Pelodiscus sinensis: one gene and its partners. The protein of the gene in region 1 purifies or fractionates together with the protein of each later gene. This does not show direct contact. Links are inferred from orthologs where the notes say so. Each region holds a gene or a part of one and is shown in the gene's direction. Other genes may lie near its edges.

The links. Proteins that work in one complex are often made in the same cells at the same time.
Region 2: the proteins of CD151 (region 1) and ITGA6 purify together in Homo sapiens (co-immunoprecipitation; 3 studies listed by BioGRID and IntAct, with this or other methods). This does not show direct contact. The link is inferred for Pelodiscus sinensis from reciprocal best matches to the Homo sapiens genes CD151 and ITGA6.
Region 3: the proteins of CD151 (region 1) and ITGA3 purify together in Homo sapiens (co-immunoprecipitation; 4 studies listed by BioGRID and IntAct, with this or other methods). This does not show direct contact. The link is inferred for Pelodiscus sinensis from reciprocal best matches to the Homo sapiens genes CD151 and ITGA3.

Annotation. Positions count from the first base shown.
Region 1 is NC_134714.1:120,080,464-120,087,894, reverse strand, and holds the start of CD151 (CD151 antigen), read left to right. Parts: upstream 1-4,036; 5' UTR 4,037-4,215; intron 4,216-7,431. UniProt on the Homo sapiens protein: Structural component of specialized membrane microdomains known as tetraspanin-enriched microdomains (TERMs), which act as platforms for receptor clustering and signaling.
Region 2 is NC_134717.1:41,892,534-41,900,537, forward strand, and holds the start of ITGA6 (integrin alpha-6), read left to right. Parts: upstream 1-4,734; 5' UTR 4,735-5,032; coding exon 5,033-5,196; intron 5,197-8,004. UniProt on the Homo sapiens protein: Integrin alpha-6/beta-1 (ITGA6:ITGB1) is a receptor for laminin on platelets. Integrin alpha-6/beta-1 (ITGA6:ITGB1) is present in oocytes and is involved in sperm-egg fusion.
Region 3 is NC_134739.1:15,236,194-15,243,719, forward strand, and holds the start of ITGA3 (integrin alpha-3), read left to right. Parts: upstream 1-4,256; 5' UTR 4,257-4,430; coding exon 4,431-4,609; intron 4,610-7,526.

The DNA of each region.
Region 1 (7,431 bases):
CTGTTATCTTGAACAAGTCATTTAGGCCCAATCCTCAACGGTGTGTAGGCTCCTCCCTCCCTCAAGGCTCTGGACTTTAATCTCCACCTTAGTTCTTCCCCTATGAATGGGGATTATTCTTGGATGAGTGCATTATACAACAGGGCCCTAATGTCAATGGAGCCTTCAGATGCTACATAATACAACCAATAATAGGGTCTGGAGAAAGGGACGCTCTTGCTGAAAATAGTTATTTCCACAATGCTACAGCAGAAGGGTGGGGAGAGGGCCCCTCCTGCCGCAAGGCACGCAGAGGACGGAAATGCCTTCATGTGAGAAGAGTGGGTGGTCTTTCCCCATCTGCTAGTGCCAGAAATGAGCCCTGAGCAAGGCTCCCCCAAACCTAGGGGAGAGGAATGCCTCAATTGACCCAGAATGAGGCAAATGTTGTAAAATGAACCATCTGGCCACTGCCTTAGGAGTCTGGTGTGAGGCTGTAGGTTGACTCCTCACTGGAGCTTGTCCCAAGTATGTGCAGGTGTATTGCTACTACCTGTTCAGTCTGCTGTACCCATTGTTGTCCCCAAACAGGAGGAGATCTGACCCTACCCAGGCACTGAAACATCAACATGCTCCTCTTTTTCCAGCTGGGCCGAGGATAGCCACTCTTTCATGGGTGGCAGGTATGTTAGGTGGAGGAAGGCACTGCCTTCCCTAACCACCAGCCTGGCCCCACCCACACTCTGCCTACTGGGGCTGCATGTCCTCTTCTCTCCCTGTGCTCCAGGAGCCTCTGTCTGTGTGGAGCCTCATCTTCCTCTGATACTGAGGGGGGAGGGCCTGGGCAGAAGGGGTGGGAGTGTGGGGGCAGGGGAGGGCTTGCCTCCCTGAGCCTTTACCTTCACCCACCACCCATGCACACTCCCCTTCTCCATTTCATGGTCACTTCTGCTCCGGCTCTACACTCAAACACCCTCCCAGAGTGCACTTTGCCGTCTCTATACTCTTGCCCCATCCCTTGCTCTCCTTCCAACAGAGTACAGATCAAGCAGAGAGAGGTTCTTTTCCTCTTGCCCCATACACACTGATTCCAATAGGCTGAACAGGAAGGGGACTCTCCCTGATTCAGGAAAAGGGGTGGGTGGGTGTGGAAGCTGGCTCCCTGAAGCCAGGAAGAGGACAAGGTGCTCTGCTTCAGCTCCCCTTCCCCAACACACTCTAAGAGCAGTTTTCTCTCTAACACCTGCCACACATACTTAAAATCTGCCTCTTCCTTCCTCGTCATCACCTCTTTCTTCCATTTTATAGCCCCTTTCTCATAACCTCAGGTCAACTGTAATATGAACTTATTCTCCTCTTTACTGGGAAGAGGGTGCCTCTGTTTTGATTGAGGTGAATATTTATGTATGAGGGGGCTGCCCCATAGATATAGCTGCAAAGAAATCCCCCTTCCCCTCCCCCCACACTCCTCTACAAACAAAAGAATATGAGCCTTGAAAGTGTGGCACATCTAGTCCTCTCATTTACTAATTTCAGCGGGGTAGTGGTGTTAGTCTGAATCTGCAAAAGTGACGAGGAGTCCTGTGGCACCTCATAGACTAACAGATTTATTGGAGCATAAGCTTTTGTGGGATAAGACCCACAAAGATTCCACTACATGCATCTAAGTGGGTCATATCCCACGAAAGCTTATACTCCAAGAAATCTGTTAGTCTATGAGGTGCCACAGGATTCCTTGTCATTTACTATTGCTTCCTGAGTTGGACAAGAGTTTTCCTTTGTTCCAGTTCCTTATATAGAGGCATATCCTAATTCTGAGATATTTAGGCTAACCCGTATGGGAAAATAATGGAGGGATGAGGCAACCTACCAGTCTGACATGGCTTCTAGTCTGCCATGTAGAAATCTCATTAGTGAATGTGTCTCAAACAAAAAAGTATATTTCCTGCTGGAGCCTCTAGAAGGGCACAACCTCTGGCTGGGCACTATTTTGCCATGTGATGCAAAGGGGGATGGTGCTGTAACTTGTGTGTATGACACCCCCGCTCAAGCATTCCAAAATCATTCTTTAGCTCCCCCCAAAACCAGGCATGCCTCTTAAAAATCATGAAATTGTATTTTGCTTGCTTGGTCTTCTGGTGTTTAGCCTTTAGGGCACACTTGCATTAACTCTTCAAGGTTTTCTGAGTAACCAAGAAAGCTAGAAGATTACCTCTATTTATTTCTAAATGAAAGGTGAGAGTCTCATGGAATCCTATGATTCCAGGAGTTGGGGCTTTAAGAAAAACATCAAATAGCACAATAACATACAGGAAGTTGTTGGCCATTAGCCTGAGAAGGGGGTAATTACAGCAGGACCTCCTGACCCAAAAATGTGTGGGGAGTGACAATCCCTTGGAGAAGCACAGCTACTGTGGAAGATAGAGGTAACTAGCATTGTAAAAATTATTTCTCTGTAATCTTTGGGAGACTTGGCAGCTCTGTTCTTGTCTCATCCAAGTGGTGGTGGGAAGGAGGTTAGTGAACAGATAAACACAGTTGTCTTTTAAAACCACAAAAAATACCCATCAATTTTAGGGTCCTCAGGCTCATGACTTTTTAAGCTCCTGCACATAGGAGCATATGGGTTTTTATCAGGGTTCAGAAACTCTTCTGAAATGCTGAATAGGGTGATGCCCATTGATGGCAGTTTGTGTTAAAAATCTCAGCCTAAATCAGTGGTTTTCAAACTATGGGTCATACTGGGTGGTGGAATACCAAGCCCTGGGTCATTTTGCTGTAAGGTAACCAGAGGAGGTAGACTAAGGCAGGCTTCCTGCCTCTCCCAGCACTGAGGACCACGTTGCGGCCAGGAACAGTTTGGGCACAGGAGTCAAAGAAATCAAGTGGGGATGGGGAGCAGGGCATAGAGCCCCTTGCACACCTCCACCTAGGAGCTGGACCTGCTGCTGGCCACTTCCAGGGCACAGTGCATACCATCATGCCAGGACAGGCAGGAAACCTGCCTTAGCATGACCGCTGCATGGAATCCACCAGAATTAAGCCCTTGTCCAAGTCCAGAGCCCCCTCCTGCATCCTTCAGCCCTGCCCTAGAGCCTGCACTCTAGTCAAAAGAAGTAATTGTGGTGGGTGATGGGCACCAGGGCCCGACGGAGGCATGGGTGAGCTGGGCAGCTGCCCGGGGCGCCAACCGATGACGGGTGCCTGATGGCAGCTGTAAGGGGCACATGGCATCCCTTACAGCTGCCATCAGGTGTTGCGCGCGCCTGGCTCCCGTAGCACCCTTCCCCCCATGGCTGCAGGTCCCTGCACGGCCCAGCGCACGCGCAAGGCAGGGCCGGGCTGGGCAGCTCGTGCGGCCTGGGGGCAGGCCCCGGGCTGTGCGCCAGCAGCCGTAGCGGGCATGCGCATGCGCCGTGCGTCCGGGGGCAGGCCTGCGCACCCTAGGGGGGCAGGCCTGTGCCACACAGGTGGGCCCGCGCGTGCGCCGTGCGCCATGGGGCAGCGCCGCACTCCTGGGCCAAGGGCGCCAAAAGGGCTCGAGCCAGCCCTGATGGGCACTGACAATTTTCTTCAACTGGTTCATGAGACAGAAGTTTGAAAGCCACTGGCCTAAATGTTCCCCCTCTTTATCTTGTCCTGCCCCCTTCAATCTCTCCCTCTCCCCCAGATGTTTGGAAAGTTAAGTCTGAGCCCAAAGGCGCCACTGAGGAATGTGGCAGGAAAGTGTGGGGAGGTAAGTACCTACATGCATCTGTACGCAACACAATCCAAAACAAATATTTCATTGTACACCTGATTTTTCTTGAGCTTTCTAAGTGGCTCATAACTTCCAGAGCCCAGCTGGCCTTGGCTTTTCTCCTTGAGTAAAAAATCAAACCGACTCAGTTTCAACCAATCCAAACAGAACCAGGGTGTGGGGCTGTCGGTCTGGGGAGCCACGGGGCTGCGGGCAGTGTTGTAGGCGGCCCAGGCGGGGGAGGTTATAGCGTTTATTGGACCAATTCTCCGGTTTACTCAGGGCGCCCCTTTGCCCGCTAGGCGTCTCCGGGTGAGCGGCGAGGCGGCTTCGCGCTGGTTCAAACCGTGTGGCGCAGCAGCTGCGGGAGCGGGCACTGGGAGGGGTCTGTAGCCGCGGCTGCAGAGCGCAGGGCTCGCTGCCTGTTTCCACTGCCGCAGGAGGGGCGGACTCGCTCGCCTGCTACCGTCGCGTGGGGCTCGGCGCGCCGGGAGAAGGTAAAGGGAGGCGCTCGGGGGCTCTGCCCGCCCGGCAGCAGCGCCCAATGGTCACAGCAGGACGCGGGGAGGGGGAGCGCGGCGCACCTGAAACAGCAGCAGGGAGAACAAAGGCAGCGCTCTGCCTGCAGCCTGCTCGTCCGGCGGCCGGGTGGTGCTGGGGACTGGACGCTCCCGGGCGCGGCCCCTAGGCTAGCGGGGGTGGGGGGAGAGCAGCGCCTTCCCCTGCCTGCTTCCTTGCCGCCCCAGATGCGCCTTGTTTACATAGGGCGGCTCAACTCTTCCCGCAGAGTCCTCGCCTCGCAAAGTGTCTGGGCTCCCTGCTTGCAGGGCGGTTTCCATTTGCACCTGAAACCGGGACGGTCCCAAGCTGGGGGGCGGCGCAAAAACAACGTTTTACACCCCCCCCCCCCCCCCCTCCTCCAGCACTTTGGGAAGGAGCAGCCAGTGACAGGAGAGTGTCCCCCTCCCCAAGAGCGGAACAAATCCCAGCTCCCTGGGGCAGTGCCCTGGCCTCCGCTTGAAGGCCACGAATTTCCATGCGGCCGAGATGGCCCGTGAGAATACTCTCCCCCTTCAGTGTATCTAGTACAGTCTGAGGCTTAAAGCGACTCAGGGGCTTGTCCAAGAGGGTATATGCTGTCTGGGATCCGCTGGAGCGCTGTGTTCACAAGTCATTGCTCCTCCCCACTGGGAGTCCTGGTTCTGCAATTAAGTTTGTTGCACTTTCTTATAACAGGACTATGTAACATGACTTCCTCTGATGCTAGGAAATCTGCAGAGGCTGTTTATAGCACAGGATTCTGGATAGTCTCTTAACTTTGTTGAGTAAAGCTTCTCCTCCCCCCCCCCATCTGCTTTGTTCAAGGCTACCCTTCTGTATAAATAAGTTTTGGCCTTTTGGGTTAAATATTAATTGGTGAAATCTTTGGAAGGTGGGAGAGAGAGAGGCAGGCCAGAGAGCACATTTACTAGGAAATCCACTCAAGTGTTGTTCTCCATGTGTTGCTGTTTTGCGTCTCCGTTTTCCCTGCCTCCCAGTTTGAAAGTGATTGGAGCTGTGTGACTGTAGCACCACATGCAGAGCATTCGCCAGCAGCCTTTGCTTCATGGCATCGAGTGGAAAGGCTAGATCGCCATTAGGGTGTCGTGATCAAAGAAACCCTTGAGAATGAATCCACCCCTTTGCAACAGCTTGTTGGTAGTGAGGAGCATATTTAACAGAGAAATCCTCTGGATGCCCCATTAAAAACCTTGTCACTTATCTTATCTTCTCCTCCTCACCCCATCTGCTTTCTTGCCCTGGGGTTTCACAAAGTGCTAGCCTTTCCTATGGATCAAGGGTTTGGATAAAGGTTTCCGAGGTGGCAGCCATTTTGCTGAAAAGTTATTTCCTACAAGCCAGCCATTTGGGATCCCTGGGTGGTTTTTGCAGTCCATGATGGGTTTACAATGGTTTAGGTTCTGATGGAGGCTTCTAGCGTGACAGTCTCGTTAACATGCAGGCCAAAGGTTCTCTCCGTTGGTTAACTCAACATGAAGATGGAACAGAAAGGTCTTCCCCCATCACTAAAAATGGTTGTTCTGAAGAGGCTCGGAAAAGCCGCTTCTGAGTTAAAACCTCAGCTTCTGGGTATTAGTTTGCTGTGAAGATAGGAAGACCATACCTGTCCCAGAGGGGTTTTTACAACCCCAAGCACTTAGTTTGCCTTTGGGCCTAGGGATGTAAAAAAGAATTTAAATAGTTAACTGGCTAAATGGCTAAAATTTTAACATTTAACTGGTTTCTCCGCCTGTCCGTTGCTCTGATACGGCTGGGGTGGGGGGAGTGGTCCTGAGGCCTGCCAAGACTGGTAAGAATTGGAGCTGGCCAGGGCCAGAAAATCACCTGCCTGCTCTGTGTGGCTGAGGCCAGGACATCACTGGGACGTGGCTGGAACACCAGAGTCCCACTGGGATGCAGCCAGGGTCAGGATGCTCCTGGGGCCGGGATGCTATGCTGAGTCGGAGCAGCTGGGGTACTGACAGCCACCTCCATGCCGGCAGGCTCCCCACAGCTGATGTAGACGCATCTCTGCCTACCCTCCCCTCATAGTAGGCTGGATTAAGCCAGGGCTGCTCCAGCCTGCTGTGGTTCATTGTGAAACTGGTTATGCAATGAGCATTCCGGTAAACCTAATGCTTACCAGGTAACCAGTTAACCTTTAACATCCCTACTTTGGGCTTCCGTAATGCTGCTGTTGTGATCCTGCCTCTTGTCATACACTAGGAAGAGTGGAGTTCAGGGAGAAACAGGTGCAACCTTTGTGTTCCATGGCTGATCTGTTACTCGGTCTAACAAAGGTAGTAAGTTTTCTTGGACTTTAATCTGTGTTTTAGGTAACACAGGCTGCCAAATGTCACATCTGTGTTTGTACATTGCCTAGCTCAACGGGACTGCATTGTTGGGTGGCAGTTTTAGACACTACTGGGAGAAACATGATTAACAAACCTAGTGCCTCCGGCAGTAAAGGGAATTGTTTGTTTCTATTCTGGGAGTGAATGTTACTGAGCCCAACTGTGATGACAGACAACTCTGTGACCAGAAGAGATAAGTTGCTTTTTGAGATCTGCAGCTTCTGACCCATAAAGCCCCTCTTACACTACATTTTCCCTCAGCGGTTTCAATGCTCTTTACTGCCTGACCCGAACCTGTTGTGCATTATTTGCGGCAGCTTGCTAAACAGCTTCTGTTCTCTAGCTGGCTGCTTTACGGTTCTGGCTCCAGTAGTCCATGTCTTCCTGTGTTTTACATCTTTAAAGGCAATAGTCCAAAAGTGCCTATTTAGATCAGTATTCCAGAGACTTCCCACTCTCTCCCGTGATTTGGTACAAGAGTCTTGCAGCCCTGCAGTAATTTTGAGAGAAGTTTTGAGACGTTTTCTATTGAGTTCTGCATTCTCTCACTGCTGCTCTCCTGAGTTCAGTTGCATCCCCCAGCCCTCTTTGCCAGCTTCTGGGTGGGCAGCAAGATGTCCCTTTCCCTAGGTATCGAGAGTTTCCTCAGACAGTGAGTAGGGGTTTCATAAGTGCTTCTCCAATAGGTGGTTTTATCTCTGTGCATCTGGTATAGAGGGAGCAGAGCACTGATTAGGGAGCTCATCCTAACAGGAAAATTGGCTTGAGTGCACCCTGCCCTGGAGGCTTTTGGGGATGAAAGTAACCATCTTGTGGGCA
Region 2 (8,004 bases), on another chromosome or scaffold:
TTTTTGCTTAAAATGCTAACAGCTGCAGGCATATTGTGTACTCTATTGCTCACCAGAACTAACACCAGTGGAGCAGAACTGAAAATAGCAGTAGTGAAAATTCTAGCAAAAATGTCCTTGTGTACAAAAGAGTAATAGTCTATTCACCTGCTTGCTTTGCTATTCAGAGGCATCAGCTATTTTGAACTAAGTCTTCAGGGAAAGCTAGCAATTCTAAAACTTGTAAAGGCATTGCATTAAGGAAATTATTCAAAAGAGTTGATTCCATGTATAAATCTTTGATGCAATTAAGAATTTAGAGAAGCTTGTAACTAGTTTTAGTAATGCAGGCCTGAGCCAATTTTCCATCTGAAATTAAATATAATCAATGAGTATATGGAATTTAATAAGGAAGAATAGGGGATACGTCAACACATTTTTGCTTTTTTAAATGTGCAGTGTGAAAGATACACAGCTGTGCATCTACGTATACCAGTAAATGATGCACTACTTTTTATGCCAAATAAATGTAAGGTGTGTTTGTAATCTGAAAGGTAAAAGGGTCAACAATGCAAGGCATTGTTCTTTAGAGTTTCTCTAGAACATAGATTAAAATGTCTTATCTGGCTTCAGTTCTTCACTTTCATTTCTAAAAATGAAAAATTAGTTCTTATAATTAAATCAACAATTGCTACATTGAGGAGGAGAGCATTTTTGGCACTGATGCTCAATATGTAGGCACAGCAGGCCAATGTCTTGCAGCCCATCTGGCAGAATACCAACATGCCATTAATAATCAGGCAGCTGAAAGCTCAGCTATGGCAGAGCATGTCAGACTAGAGAAAGGACACATGGCTTTGAGCTGGCTGAGACAGTAGCCATGGGTAGTGAGTTATTTTCATTGCATTATGATGTATATTATTATAGCAGTCAAAGCTAATTGATCATCATACCAAATTTTCATTTTCCTTTATACTGGGATAGGACCAAATAAAAAGTGTGTAAGAATGTGTTGGTTGCTAGAAGATGTCCCATAACATTTTTCTGCATGTGGCCTAATCTCTGCAATATCATAAGTCACTTGAATAAAGAAGAAAACCTATGTTTTCACACTTGCTGCCCCTCCCCTGCCTGGAAGGACATATTCAAGAAAATAAAGTGAAATGTAGATAATAGATCATCTATAGCTTAATTTTTTTTCTCATGATCAGAAGTTGGTCTAATAAAAATATTACTCCATCCACCTTGTCTCACCTGTTTGAGACTATTCCAATGAAACTCTAAAACTTTTGAGTGAATCTGTGTTCCATCTGACAAAAAATCCATTTCTTCTATTTGTCCCAGGAGAGGTTTCAATGTAACTACATTTTTAAATGTCACTAATTCTGGTAATAAGAAACTGTAAAATTGATATCCTCTCGCCACTGATGTGGCTAATAGTGAACAAATAAAAATGTATAAGATAGCATTGGCGAGAGGGATCCAATAAATGTAACATGACACCATTGTCTAGTTTGAGTACTTGAATGAGCCTACTTTCTGCCAAAGTTATTCAGAGCTATTGCTACTTTTTCAAAATACTGTAGTATATAATGGGGTGGGCAATAATTTTTGAAGAGGTTGAGGGCTGTCCTGGAAAGGGTGGGGCCTCAGGTTGAAGGGGGCAGGGGCAAGAGACTTCACAGCCTACTCACCTTGATTGGCCTCGGGGTGGGGGAGCATATGAAGTCTTAGTTCCCCTCCCTTCACTGCCAAGGGAATGAAGCGCTTAGAGAAAACTGCTGGCTGTTTGAACAGCCTGCTGGTGCTTTGTGCCCCTGGCGGGGGGAGGAGACTTTGTGTACTCTCCTGTCCCCAGGTCTTGATTGGCTTGAGTATGGGGGAGCCGCAGGGTGGCCATGGGCCAGGAATCTTTCTAATTGCTGCTATTTAAAGGGCTCCCGGCTCTGGCTCCGGCTCCAGGGGTTGTGAGCCCTTTAAATAGCAGCAATTTTAAAGGGCTTGCGCTTCCTGTGTTCCGTTACTAATGCATTGCCTGGGAGCGGCAGGGGAGGTGAAAGCCCTTTAAATAGCAGCAGCTGAAAGGGTTTGTGCCTCCCCAGCAGCTTCCAGGCAACGCATTAGTGGTGGAGCTGCCATGGGCTGGATCAAAGTGCTTGGTGGGCCAGATCCGGCCCATTGACAGTCTCTTGCCCAGCCCTGGTATACAGGCTGGATGTTATTTGTGGGGAAAACTCAAAATTATTTTTAAAGGGTTCACACTTGTTTTTGTTTTTGTTTTTGTTTTTGTTTTCTAGTAATTGCTACTTACCATCACATTTATGAATTGTAATAAGTTTGCTCCCTTATGAGTCCAGCCCTCTCCCCCTGTGAAATCAGTCTAGTCTTTGTGTTAACACAAGTCTATGCCATGAGGAATGATTGTGAGGTAACAGAACACTAGATTATGGATAATGGTTTTGAATAAATCAGACAGGAAGAGATGGAGCCTAATTCAACAGATACGTGTTTTGATTTCCAGGCTATGGAAGCACATTTGGGGGGTGGGGGGTGGCGCTTCATAAGAGAAGAAGATAGATTTATTTTCTCTTCTTTAAAAATTTATTTGCAGTATCAATAACCATAAGAAAATAATAAGTATATTATGATGACCTTGCTAAAATGAATCTTTAAAAATCTGCCTGAATGGCATTTCAAGCAGACTCAATTGCTCATAGAGGAACACTCAAAATAATTCCACTACAGTAATGTTGTCATAGGGGTTTGGCAAAAGGTTTAGGAGAAAAAACACCAGCCTGTTCAAACCAGTCATGTACAGTATTGTCTTGATTAAACTGAACATGTCAGCTTCAAGTCTAATAGATTCTAGTCACAAGCCATCATCGTGTTATAAGTACATTTGGGTCATGATGATATTTGCATTTTGATGAAAGACCTGGGAAGGCCCATACTATGGAAGCATAGATATAATCACTCCTGATTCATGGCTGATCTTAGTAGCTGAAATTTGGCCTGCCCCTACTTTCATAGAATACTTACTAATGGCCAAGGAAAACTATTATGGCATGCCACCATTGATTTTTTTTTATAGTTTTTTTTTAAACTTTACTTTAGGAAAAGAAAATGCAGGATGTAGTAATAAAAGTTAACTTCAAACAAAACTAAAATCACTGCTGACACTCTATCCTTCCAATGTCATGTACACTGCAGTGTTCTGCGTGACTGCATGAGATAATATGCATACTATTTTTAACAGTTGTAGATTAGGAGTTGGGCAATCTCAGATCTCTTCAGAGATTATGGAGTTTTGAGGCTCAAATGCTCTGAAGACTGTTTAGAGAAGACACTTATGTATATGTAAAGTTTTTTTTTTCTGTGTGCTTTCCAGCAGGGACTAAAATAACTAACATAGATACACATTGGTGATTGGTCCTGTGGCACCTTATAGACTAACTGAAGTAGTCTATAAGGTGCCACAGGACTCCTCGCCGCTTTTGCAGATTCAGACTAACACGGCTACCCCTCTGATACTTGACATTGGTGACTGTGGTTTTTGTTTTAGTTTATCTTTAGAGGAATACCTATAGGCTACGTCTACACTGGCATGATTTTCCGGAAATGCTTTTAACGGAAAAGCACTTTTTGCGGAAAAGCGTCTGTGGCCAATCTAGACGCAGTTTTGCGCAAAAAAGCCCCAATCGCCATTTTAGCCATCGGGGCTTTTTTGCGGAAAACAGTACTGTGCTGTTTACACTGGCCCTCTTGCGCAAATGAACAGGAGCAGCACAGTATTTCCGCAAGAACTCTGACGATCTTGCATGAGATCGTCAGTGTTCTTGTGGAAATTCAAGCGGCCAGTGTAGACAGCTGGCAAGTTTTTCCGCAAAATCATCTGATTTTGTGGAAAAACTTGCCAGTCTAGACACAGCCATAGTGAACACTGGAAACAGATGAAGTTCTGAGTGCTGCTGTCAAGAATGGATTCTTCAAAAGATGCAATGGGTTCTTAAAATGTTTTAGAAATGTAGTCACTATCTCATAACCTGGGATGTATTTACTATTGGATATTTCTTGTTATTGCTGTTATATATTCCATGCTAGTTAAATTAGTAAATCAATTTTCAGCATTTCAGTTTGCTTTTTTTAACTGACAGCTTGGTGTTGGGAGGTGCCCTTGGTGGAGCATCTGGTATCATTTTTAGACTGAGGGACCAAGCCACCAGAAGGGAATGAAATCAATGTGCTTGGGTGATTTATGTTTGCTTGGTGTTGGTTACTTATTCAAGGACTCTTGATTTGAATAATTAACTGGGGTTTGACTAGATGTAAATGACAACATAGTTCTTGGGTCACCCTAACTCTTCTGTGTCTGTGGAAGGGTTCTGAACAGCCTGGGGGCAGATCAGTGATACAAAACTTTATTTTGCTGCAGTGTGATACCCCTGCTCTTAATTTCTCTTTTCCCCAAGGTAAGATGGACATAGATACTGATGATTTGGGTAATTCGGGAGTTGTTGTCACTTCTTTGTACTGGAACCCCAGTGAGTTATTCCATTTCTGTTTTAGAACCCGGAATAAGGAACTGGGAATAAGTAACCAGGCAGCTACAGCACCCTTGCAGGTGACCCTTGATTGCAGCACTTGAGTGCTCCGGCAAGACGTTGGTGGGGGAGGAGGGAATGAATAGGGCAGGGCTGGCTGGAGCCTGGGAAAGGCTGCAGGGCTGGGCGACGCTCTAAATCCTGGACAGTTGCAGGGGTTGCTTAGCGGCGCTTTTCCGTCTGGAAGAGCCTCGTGGCGCTACTCACTGGCTGGAGGTTGGCAGGGACAGAACGGCAGGGCAGGGCAGGGAGAGGCTGAGGGCCGCAGAGCCGAGCCGAGCCCAGCCCGGCGGGTGGGGGAGGCGGGGCTCGCCTCTTTTCGTCACTTAGTGCGAAGCTGGGAGTCTCAGGAGAACAACGGGCTCATTGAGCGAGTGGCAGCGCGGGGAGCGCCAGGCGCGTTCAGGCGAGGGGCAGCAGCAGTAGCAGGTTCCCGCTCCCAGCCTGAACGGATGGCTCCCGGGCAGACGCTCCTCTACCTGTCCCTCCTGTCCTGCCTCGCCTCCGCCTTCAACCTGGACGCGGACAATGTGATCCTGCGGCGAGGGGAGCCGGGCAGCCTGTTCGGCTTCTCCCTGGCCATGCACTGGCAGCTGGCGCCGCAGGACAAGAGGCTGTAAGTAGCCCCGGGCCGGGGAACTCTCCCTCCCCTCCGCACAGAAACTTTCCCGCTGCAGCGCGACTCGGGGGCCGCCGCCCCGCCAGGCTCCAGGACAAGGCAGGAGCCGGTGGCGCCGCCAGGCTGCAGCGCCCTGGCTCGCTGCCTGCCTGGTGCTCCTGCGGGCTGCGCCCGGGGGTCCCCGCGGCGGGCAGGGGAAGGGGGCGCGGGCATCTCTCCGGTGGGGGGCAGGTTTCAAACTCCGCCGCCGGCTCCTTGGGCTGCGCGCGCGTTTCCCGGGTGAGCCTGCAGGTGGGAGCGGCGCGTCCCTCCCTCCCGCTCTCCTGCAGCCCGGGGCCGCCTCCGGGAAGCGGGCGAGGCTGGGTTTCGTGCTGGCGGGTCGGCTCCTGGCTGCGGGCCGCGCACAAGCGGAACAGCCACCTGTTGGCAGAAGTTGTGGGGCTGCGACCGCCGCCGCTTGGCGCAGCGGGGCAGGCCGTGTTGCCGCCCACAGCACCCGCTGGGTGTGCTCCCTGCTTTGAAACAAAATGTCTGAGCTAAGCTCCGTGGCTTCAAACCCCGGGGCGCCCCAGACCCTCTGCTGCTGTGCGCCGGGGCAGCAGCCAGGGCGAGCTCCGGCAGAAATGGCCCCTTGAAAATCACCGCGGTTCTTTTCTCTGCCGTAGGGATTCCGCACTACCGAGGGCTCTGGGGGAGCGGGGGGCAGCACTAGTGCGGCGAGACGTGTGAGCCTGGTGGCAAACGCTGACCTTGCATTCCTGCTCATGCGAACAAAGAATTCCGCAGGGGCGTATGACAACAAAGGGACGTTGCCCCCAAAGGCCTCCGCTGTTCTCAACTCAAGGCAGCAGCAGCTGCAGTAGTAGTAGCATGAGACTGAAGCGCTTAAGCAAGTGTACTCACACTAGGGAAAAGCAGACTGAAGCCAATGAAGAAACTGATGCATGCTAGTAAATCTTTAGTTTACATTAGTAGTTACTGCTGATTTTTAAATTTGCTCCCATTTGTGTAGAATAGTGATAGAGATGCAGCTGTGTTAGTCTAGGGTAGCTGAAACAAAATACAGGACTAAGTAGCACTTTAAAGACTAACAAGATGGTTTCTTAGATGATGAGCTTTCGTGGGCCAGACCCACTTCCTCAGATCAAATAGTGGAAGAAAATAGTCACAACCATATATACCAAAGGATACAATTTAAAAAAATGAACACATATGAAAAGGACAAATCAAATTTCAGAACAGAAGGGGGATGAGGGGGGAAGGTAATGTCTGTGAGCTAATGATATTAGATGTGATAACTGGGGAAGCATTCTTTGTGTAGGTCACTCTATGTTCTAGCTGTAGGAATGAACTTTATTCTTCCTGCATAACAGGAATCATGGATCAGCAACTTGTGATAATCTCTCTTTGCTGATGTAGGAATTAATCTAGACATTGTCCTGAGATTAAGTAAACTGTTTTTAATAAAATTGTAATTGAATTTGAGTTAAAAATAATCTTCCTAGGTTCCATCTGACTTACTTGACTGAATCAAAAGCAGTCCAAGTGGTGATGTGTGTGTGCATGTGCAATAAAATCCCTGGTGTTCAAGACTGAACCTGTTCCACACTACAGATGCGAGATCCTTGAGGAAGGGATGGGCAAATAAATTGGGTGTTGCCAACATAATCATGATAATAAAGGGATTGCTCATGGAAGACCCAACCACAAAATGAAATGTTCCTTTATATGCCCTCAGGGAGGACCATGAGAGTAACTGAATGGAGCATTATTTGGTCCAATGAAAGAAATTATCGAATCCACCTTGTCTGTATAAATTTGAACACATTTACTGATTTTACTGTAGATGTTATCTATGGATGATACCAAATCATGTGAGGATTTATGAAAGACCAGAACTAAATTTTATTTTAATTAAAAGCATGAAGTTAAAAGAGAATCCAGAGTTCATGAGAGAAGTGAAGTCAGAAAGTTACTTGATAATCTTACTTAAAACTTCCAGGGTCACGTACTGCCCTGAGTTGTGCCCTGTATAATGTCATTGATTTCAGAGAGGCTGCATGAATTCCATAGATACTGATGACATGGACTACTCCAAAGCTAAAGAAGGAAACATCTAAACCCTAGAAATTGCCTGTTAGTATCATACATCATGGCCCTATGTCACAGCTTATGCATGTGATTCTTGAAAGTTGTCTCATTTTTCGCTTAAACTTAAGATAATCTTTTTATTGATAATTAGAACCCCATGGTACTGTCAGTGCTGCTATCACAGGGTGAGCAATAATTTTTGACGGGAGGAGGGCAGTCCCACGATTTTTGGAAAGTGGTTGAGGGTCACACTCTTCCATGATATTAATGGAGGAGATGGGGGGTCTGAGATGGAAGTTGGGTGCAGAAGGGATCTTGGGGGAAGGGATTGGGGTGCAGGAGGGAGCCTGGAGCCTGGGAGGGAGTTGGGATGAAGCAGGCAGTTGTGACCTAGGGCAGAGGACTGGAGTGTAGGGTTCGGAGTGCAGGGGTTTGGGATGTGACCCAGGGTAGGAGGGTACTGCTATCTGGGGCAGGAGAACCGGCCAATGAGAATGTGCTGGGGGCGGGGCAGCTCCTAATACTTCCCTCTCCCTTCCAGTTTTAAAACAGAAATAGAGCCCTGCCAGCTGCAATTCTGCAGGGTGGTGGGGCAAGCCTGGGAGCCTGCCTGAGGCTCCTCGCTGCCTCCACGGGCTGGAGCCAGCCCACGGGCCATATTTTGTCCAGGCCTGTACTAGTAAGTGTATAAAGATGTGCGGGGACAATTACAGT
Region 3 (7,526 bases), on another chromosome or scaffold:
ACAGAAAACCATCTTGTCACCAGTTTGGCTACAGCCTTTGCCATGTGGGGCCTGGCCTGGTGTCTGTCCTTCCCGTGGGGCCTGGCCTGGTGTCTGTTCTTCCCGTGGGGCCTGGCCTGGTGTCTGTCCTTCCCGTGGGACCCGGCCTGGTGTCTGTCCTTCCCGTGGGGCCCGGCCTGGTGTCTGTCCTTCTCATGGAGCTCGGCCTGGTGTCTGTCCTTCCCTTGGGGCCTGGCCTGGTGTCTGTCCTTCCCGTGGGACCCAGCCTGGTGTCTGTCCTTCCCGTGGGACCCGGCCTGGTGTCTGTCCTTCCCATGGAGCCGGCCTGGTGTCTGTCCTTCCCTTGGGGCCTGGCCTGGTGTCTGTCCTTCCCGTGGGACCCGGCCTGGTGTCTGTCCTTCCCATGGAGCCGGCCTGGTGTCTGTCCTTCCCGTGGGGCCCAGCCTGCTGTCTGTCCTTCCTGTGGGACCCGGCCTGGTGTCTGTCCTTCCCGTGGGGCCCGGCCTGGTGTCTGTCCTTCCCGTGGGGCCCGGCCTGGTGTCTGTCCTTCACGACGACATGAACAAGCCATGGGAACTCAGCTCTGGCTTGAGGCCCAAGGGGACCCTCTCGGGTGACCCGGAAAGCACAGGCCAGAACCGGGACACGCCTGTGACCTCCCGCCAGCCGGCGTGAAGGGAGTCTTGGCCCTCAGCCCCCAAGAGCTGCTGATCTTGCCCCTCCACCTCAAAGCAAATCCCTGCGTGTTCCGCGCCCCAGGGCCTGCCGGCTGAGCTTGGCTGGGGATGCTTTAGCCTTTTCCCAGCTGCTCTCATGAGTGGGGTCGCCTCTCCCGCCCAAGATGTGGGGTGCACCTGAGCTGGAAACTCCAGGGAGGGCTACAGCCAAGCCCCTGCATGGCAAATCCAGCCAGGTCTGGGCTGCGTCCCCAGAGGGAAACCAGGACAGTCTCCTCCCTCCCCTGCCCCCCCGCCCCCCCGTGCAGGACCAGGAACCCAAGCCCCTCCCACCATGCAGGCCCCCCTGTTCCAGGACCCCCGCACTGTAATCTGAGCCCCCCCACAGCCGCGCCCCTTGGCAGCCCTGGCCTCCAGGCACGGTGCTCACGCACTTCAGGAAGGGCGTCTCTTTCCCGGGGAATGAGGTCATGGAGGAGTTTGCTGGGGGGGGGGCGAAAAGGTGGGGTGCTTGGGGGGCACTGCCAGGCGGTTCCAGGCCCAAAGGGGGTGTGGAGGGATTGAGGCTGGATCCATTGCGGGGGGAGGGGAAGTGAGTCACTTTGCTACAGGCCCGGGAGTGCTGGGGGTCGGCTGGCGCAGGGAGAGGAAATGGGACGGGAGCCAGGGCAGGGCAGCGAGGTAGCGGCAGGATATGCAGGTGGCAGGGTGCCCACTGGTGCTGGCCCGCGCGGGCAGCTGGCTCTGATTGGCCAGTAACCCTCCTGCCAGAGCCCTGCAAGGATCCAAAGGCTGGAGGGGGATGTGTGTCCCTGCCTGCGACCTTTTGCAGTGCGGGGCTCGGGGGGCTGGGGGACCAGGCCTGTGGCTGCCACTGTCGGCAGACAGGACACTGGGCCGGACAGACCTTTGGTCTGGCCGCTCTGATGCCCTCCACGCAGCGCCCGGCGTGGGAAGGCGGAGCAGCGCGGCGTGCAGGCAGGAGCGGCTTCTCCCTGGCCCGCGCCGCATGTAAGGCCAGGGGTGCAAGGCCAGGAGCCCGTGGTAGGTGTGAAGATGACCAGGGCAATGGGGAGTCGTTCCACCGGCCTGTGTCTCCACCGGGACGAGCCCAAAGTCCAGTCGCACTCCACAAGCGCGGGGCCTCTGAGAATCCAGCCTCACGTTCGCCCCCTCACTGCTCCAGAATTCCAGCAAGGGCAGCATTTCAAATCCACCAAGGTGGGGCCCGCCAGCCGGCCTCCCACAACCACGGGCATGCTCAAACATTTGGAAAGTGGGCAGAGCTCCTAAAGCCCTAGCCTGAAAGGGCCCTTGCGACGTGAGAGTAAGGGTGTGTAAAACACGTGGCTGAAAGGAGAAACAGATAAGAGAGAAGGAAAGGCTGGGGCGTGGAGTCTGCAGTTTGGTGCTACCTCCACCACCACTGGCTTCAGACTAACTTCCATGCCTCAGTTTCCCCACTTGCAATTCAGGACATTGTGACACATGACTGGTATATGCAAAATGCTTTAACATCTTTCCATGAAATGGGTCAGAGTGCTGGCCTTCTAGGACTTGACACGTGTCATGGTGTGGCATTCTGAGTCCATTCAGACCTCAGTGGAAACAGAACTCAGCTCCAAAAACATGAGCCTCTGCCACTGGAGCTAAAGGAGAATCTCCACCAACTCCTACCAATATAGGGCATATGACACACAGCAGAGCAGTTCTGTTGCCATGGTGCTAAGTGTTGTACAAACTGGATCTGGGGTCCTTCTAGGTCATGGACAAACTGCCTTGCAGCAGTGCTTTGTGGGATGCTGAGAGTGAAGTGACCAGGAATGGGGCATGTGAGCAGCAGACCCTCATGGGGCCTGTTCCAGGCAGTTGCTGCTCTTGTGGTTATTTAACGCTTCCGAGAGCCAGGCCACAGGGCGAGGGCAGGAAGACGCAGAGCCGACAAACTAAACAGGAACGTAGCCTTCCCCTTTCATCCCAGTCACTGACACAACATGCATTGACTTGCACAGTCACGCTGCAGGCATTGCTGGAGCCCGGCACCCTGTGACCAGGTGCTGTTCTAGCGAAGAAAACGGGCGAGGACGCCACTGCACGCGAAGGGACTAGCGGGGCCGGAGTCGTGTCTGAATGCCGGAGGCTCAAGGCAGCTGCTGGGTAGTGGAGGACAGGCCGTCACATCTCCGCTCGGAGGGCGCTGGGGTGATGCGAGTGCTGTTACAGTCTCTAGGCAAACCCCACACTCAATTGTTCCCCATGTGCTTCCAGTAAGCTGGCAAAACAACAGACCTGGCCCGCAAGGCGGGTGTGGAACATATTCTTGCCCTGCAGCAGCGCTGGGAACCGAGGCTAGCGAGTGGGCCGCAGGAAAGCTGTCACCAAGCCGCTCTCCCGGGACAGGGCAGTTTTGCTCACTGTGCTTGCATCCCTAGACTGTGTGGGGGCGTGGGTTGAACTGGAGCAGCACTGTGACTGGCTGAGGAGGGAGCGCCTGGCTCTCCCAGTCAGTGCGGGGTGCCAGCAGCCAGCACCTCACGTCACCTGCCCTGGCAGCATGTGCACGTCACTTCAGCAATACTGGAAGGAAAAAAGTGACACTGTTGGAAGCCAGTGGGATCAGGGAGCATCTCGTGGGCCGCACGCAAAACCCCAATGGGCTGCAAGCAGCCCTCGGGCAACAGGTTGCCCACTGGAACTGTCCGTACCCATAAGTAGAATAGGCAGCTAGGAGAGGTACCCAAAATCTGGGGCACAGCTGGGTCTTAATGTCCATGCACCTGCCTCTTCCTATCCCTGTTCCTTCCCCCTCCCCTCTGCTTCATTAAGATGCAGCCCAGGTCCTGTCGGCCGACAGTGGCCAACGCCAGGTGCCCCGGAGGGAGGGAACTGAACAGAGAATCCTCACGTGATGCCTCCCCCGTGGCCCATTCCCAGCCTCTGGCACACGGGCCGGGGACCCATCCCTGCCCATCCTGGCTAAGAGCCATTGAGGGTCGGATGCTCCAGCAACTTGGCCCTTTGTAAACTTGTTGCCAGCCGAGTCCCATGGGGTTGGGGAGAGAGACTTGGCGATTCAGCCTTCTCCCACAGCCTACATCTGGCTCTGATTCCCCCACCCCCAGCAGGCTGCCTGGCTGGCACCAAAGCTCCCTTCCTGCCCTGGGGCGGGCGAGGGAATGGCGAGTGGGGAGCTGGGCTCCGATCAGAGGGCTGGAAGGGGCCTCTGGAGGCCATGGGGGCCATGGGCGGGCAAGGGAAAACGTCCAGTGTTACAGTCATTCACTGCAGCTTTGGCCAAGCACCCAGCCACAGCCCGGAGCCGAACTCACCGCACGAGGCCTCTCTCTCCCCTGGGCCCCGATCCTGCCGGCCTGTCCCCGCTCCGGCCTGCGGGCTTGCTCCCAGGCCCAGAGGGCGGCAGCTAGGACCGGGCAGCCAGGAGGTGGGAAGCAGAGAGACCCAGCGCGGGCGCCGGCATGGGGGCCACGCCAGGGCGCAACTTTGCCCAACTTTGGAAATCGCTGCAGAAGCGCGCAGCGGCGCGTAACGCGCCCTGAGCCGGGGGGGGGGGGACCAGCCCCCGCGCCCCTCCCCGCAGCGCCGCGGCCCCTTTAAGGCGGAGACTCCTTTGCTGCTGCGATTGTTCCCGTTGCCCGGAAGAAAAGCGCAAAGGTGGGGAGGACGCTGCTGGCCCCTCCCCGGCCCTGGCTCGCGCGCCCGGCAGGACGCACCTGGCCCCGGGCAGGACCCGCCATGGATCGCGGGCGGCTGCCGCTGCTCTGCCTGGCCTGGGGGGCTCTGGGCTGCGGGGGCTGCGCCGCCTTCAACCTGGACACCCGCTTCGTGGTGCTGAAGGAGGGAGCGACCCCGGGCGGCTTGTTCGGCTTCTCCGTGGCCCTGCACCACCAGACCGAGGGGCTGGACCGGCACCTGTGAGTACCGCCCCCCCCCCCCGCCGGGGGTCCGCGCTGCCCGGGTGCCCCTCGCTCCAGCCCCCCCGGCTTCGAGGGGCATCGGGGGGGATCTCTGCCGAAAGGGGCGCTCCGGGGCGCTGGGGGCCGAGGTGCCTGGAGACGTCACGCGCTCCTGGAGCGCATTGTGCAGCTTACGCCCTTCCCCACCTCTCCGCGCGAATGGGGCTGCCCTCGGGCCCGATCCTGCGCCCTCGGGGGAATAACGTGACTCCCCGGGGCGTACGGGCCAAGTTTGCTCCCGTGAGTGAGGGTTGCAGGATCAGGCCCCCGCTGGCCGGCTGGGCATGGGGCTGTCCGGCCCTTCTGGGACAGTCCGATTGGCCGGGGCAAGGCGATGCCTCAGCGCCGAAGTGCCGGCTGCGCCCGGAGCCTCCTGGCCGCGGGGGATGAATCCGATCTCCCCGGCTAATCTTGGCTTGTCATCATCTTCGCGCTGCCTGCGGCCCTGGGCCTTGCTTGTTCGCGGTGTCCTGAGCGGCGCTGGTGCTGGAGCTCAGCTGATGAGCCGGGAACCCTGAAACATCCAGCTGCCCCCGGGCTGTTTGACTGGGGCGAGGCCGCTGGCTGGTTTTCCTGTGGCCAGGGGAGGAAAATTCCCGGGGACCTGTTGAACTTTCCTGCCGTTCTCCAACAGGCGAAACTGTTGCAAAAGAACTTTTCGGTCCCTGGATTCTCTCTGGATTAACAGCTGCCCCCGGCTTGCCCGGGTCCCCAGCTCTGTGCCAGAGCTTGAGTTCATCTCCCAGAGGCCTGGTTCCCGGAGCCACCTTTAGATCTGGGTGTGGGGAGAATCCAGCTGGAGTATCCTCGTCGTCGGGTCGAGGCGGCTTGATTGCCCTGCACCCACAGAGGCTGGAACTGGGGGGAGGGGGTGCAACGCCCCCTGGCTTGAAGTGGCTTCCATCATAGGGGGGGGGTTACAGTTTGGTTCAGTGGCTTTCATCCCCCTTCCCCCCACATTGTGCCAGGCCCCCTGCCAGCACGTTGGGGCGCGTCCAGTCCTCCGGTGCTTGGGTGAGGGTCTAGCTGGGACTATCAAGGGGGTATCTCACTCAGCTCCCTGCCATTGTGGGGGCCTCGGGCGCTGGTGCCCCTCGCCCCCCTCCCTCCATTTTCTGCTTGTGGCACATGCTAGTCTAGGTTCCCACGGGGGGAGGGGAGGAGAGGAGGGCGACAGGTTCGGCGCCTGGGTGGTGGGTGCCTGCGACAGACGGGAGATCAAGCCGCGTGACCAGGCTGGGTCCCTCCTGCCCTGGCATCTGCCAGCAGCCTGGCGCTGGCGTTGACACCGGTGCAAACGGCTCCTCCAGCCGGCCCCGAGCAGAGGGCCTGTTTCCATTGCCCCGAGCCCTGGGAGAGCTCTCCCTGCAACAGCTGCACGGGCTGCGGCATCGGCATCGGCTGCGCATTCCAGAGAGGCATTGGAAAGGCTCCTGATGAAGTGTGGGATTTTGTTCTGTTGGAGGGGGAGTGAAATGTTCCGTGTCTCCCCCCTCTCCGGAACAGCTGCTGGGGCGGAGCTGGGTCTGGACGGGGGGCTCTGTGCTGGGAAATGCTGGCACGGAAAGGGAGTCTGTAAAGCCAGGAGGTTGCTTGGGAAGGGTGGCTCAGTGGTCAGAGCGGTAGCCTGTGACTTGGGAGAGGTTGGTTCAGTTTTCCCCTGTCACAGATTTTCCCAAGTGACCCTGGGCGAGTCACCAAAGCCTGGATCCTGCGGGTGTTTGGTAACCTCGCTGTGTTGTGGCTCTTGCTGGGAGGCGAAATCCATGGAAGACTGGGGGAGGGGGGGCAGGTGGACACTGACAATCACTAAAATCCAGACTCGGGCGAGGCTCTTCGGGCAGAGAGGCAAAGGTCAGAGCCAGGGACGTCCATACGCCACCCTCCATTCCAACAGCCCAGGCCCCAAGACCCATGTCCGCACCCAAACACGGGTGACTCGGGCCTTTCTGCAGGCGAGTGCCACTCCAAAGCAGCCCCCTTGGCACGACGGCCCCCGGGAGAGGTGTCCTGGAGCCGTCTCCATGCCCGGGGAGTGGGCGCTGAGTCCTGGGGAGGGACGGAGTTGTCGGGAGGGGGCCGCTGGGCCCGGCTCGCCAGAGAAAAGCGGCGAGGAAAAGTCCGTAGGGCAGCAGCTGCGTTTGCAAGCCTGCCTGGCCAGGGGCTTTCCTGTGTTAGCTTTGAGATAACGAGTCGAGCAAACGGTGCAAAGGGACACCCCTGGCGGCAGAAAGGGCCCGCAGGGCTGTTCGTGCCTCGCCTGCCGGTGCGGCTTGTGGGTGGACGTGAGCACAGGCTGCTTTCCTGTCGGAGCCGGTGTCGGGCTCAGGCGGGCCTGGTGGGTCTCCCGGCGCTGCCCAGTCTCCCCGAATCCTGGTTTGGACTCGGCAGGCACAGGAGGGGCAGCAGGTCTCCGGCTCCGCAGGGAGGGAGGCCTGGCTCTTTGGACCAGTAAGGCGCTGGATGTCCAGGACAGCTCCTCAGGTGCTTGCCAGGCCAGTTCCAAGCAGTGACCTGTCACTGACCACGGGGAGCCCCTGCTGCTTCAGAGGATGAAAAGTTGGATTGGCTAATTACAGAACAGCCTGCTCCTAGGGCTGTTTCTGCCTGACCCCTGTCAGTTTGCTCTCCTCTCGTGCCTTGAAGCATGAGCATTCGGGCTCTGAGCCAGCAGAACACTTAAACACGCGCCTGCTTCCCAGCCCAATTCATGTCAGCGAGACAACTCGCCTTCCTTAACGTTTCGCAGCTCTAAGTGGCTTGCTGGGTTGGGGCCTACGCTAAGACGTGCTTTCATCCGCTTGCGCTTTATCTTTTAATTCCATCTGTCGGCGGGAGAAGAGGGAAAGTAAAACTGACAGGTGTTCTCTGCACC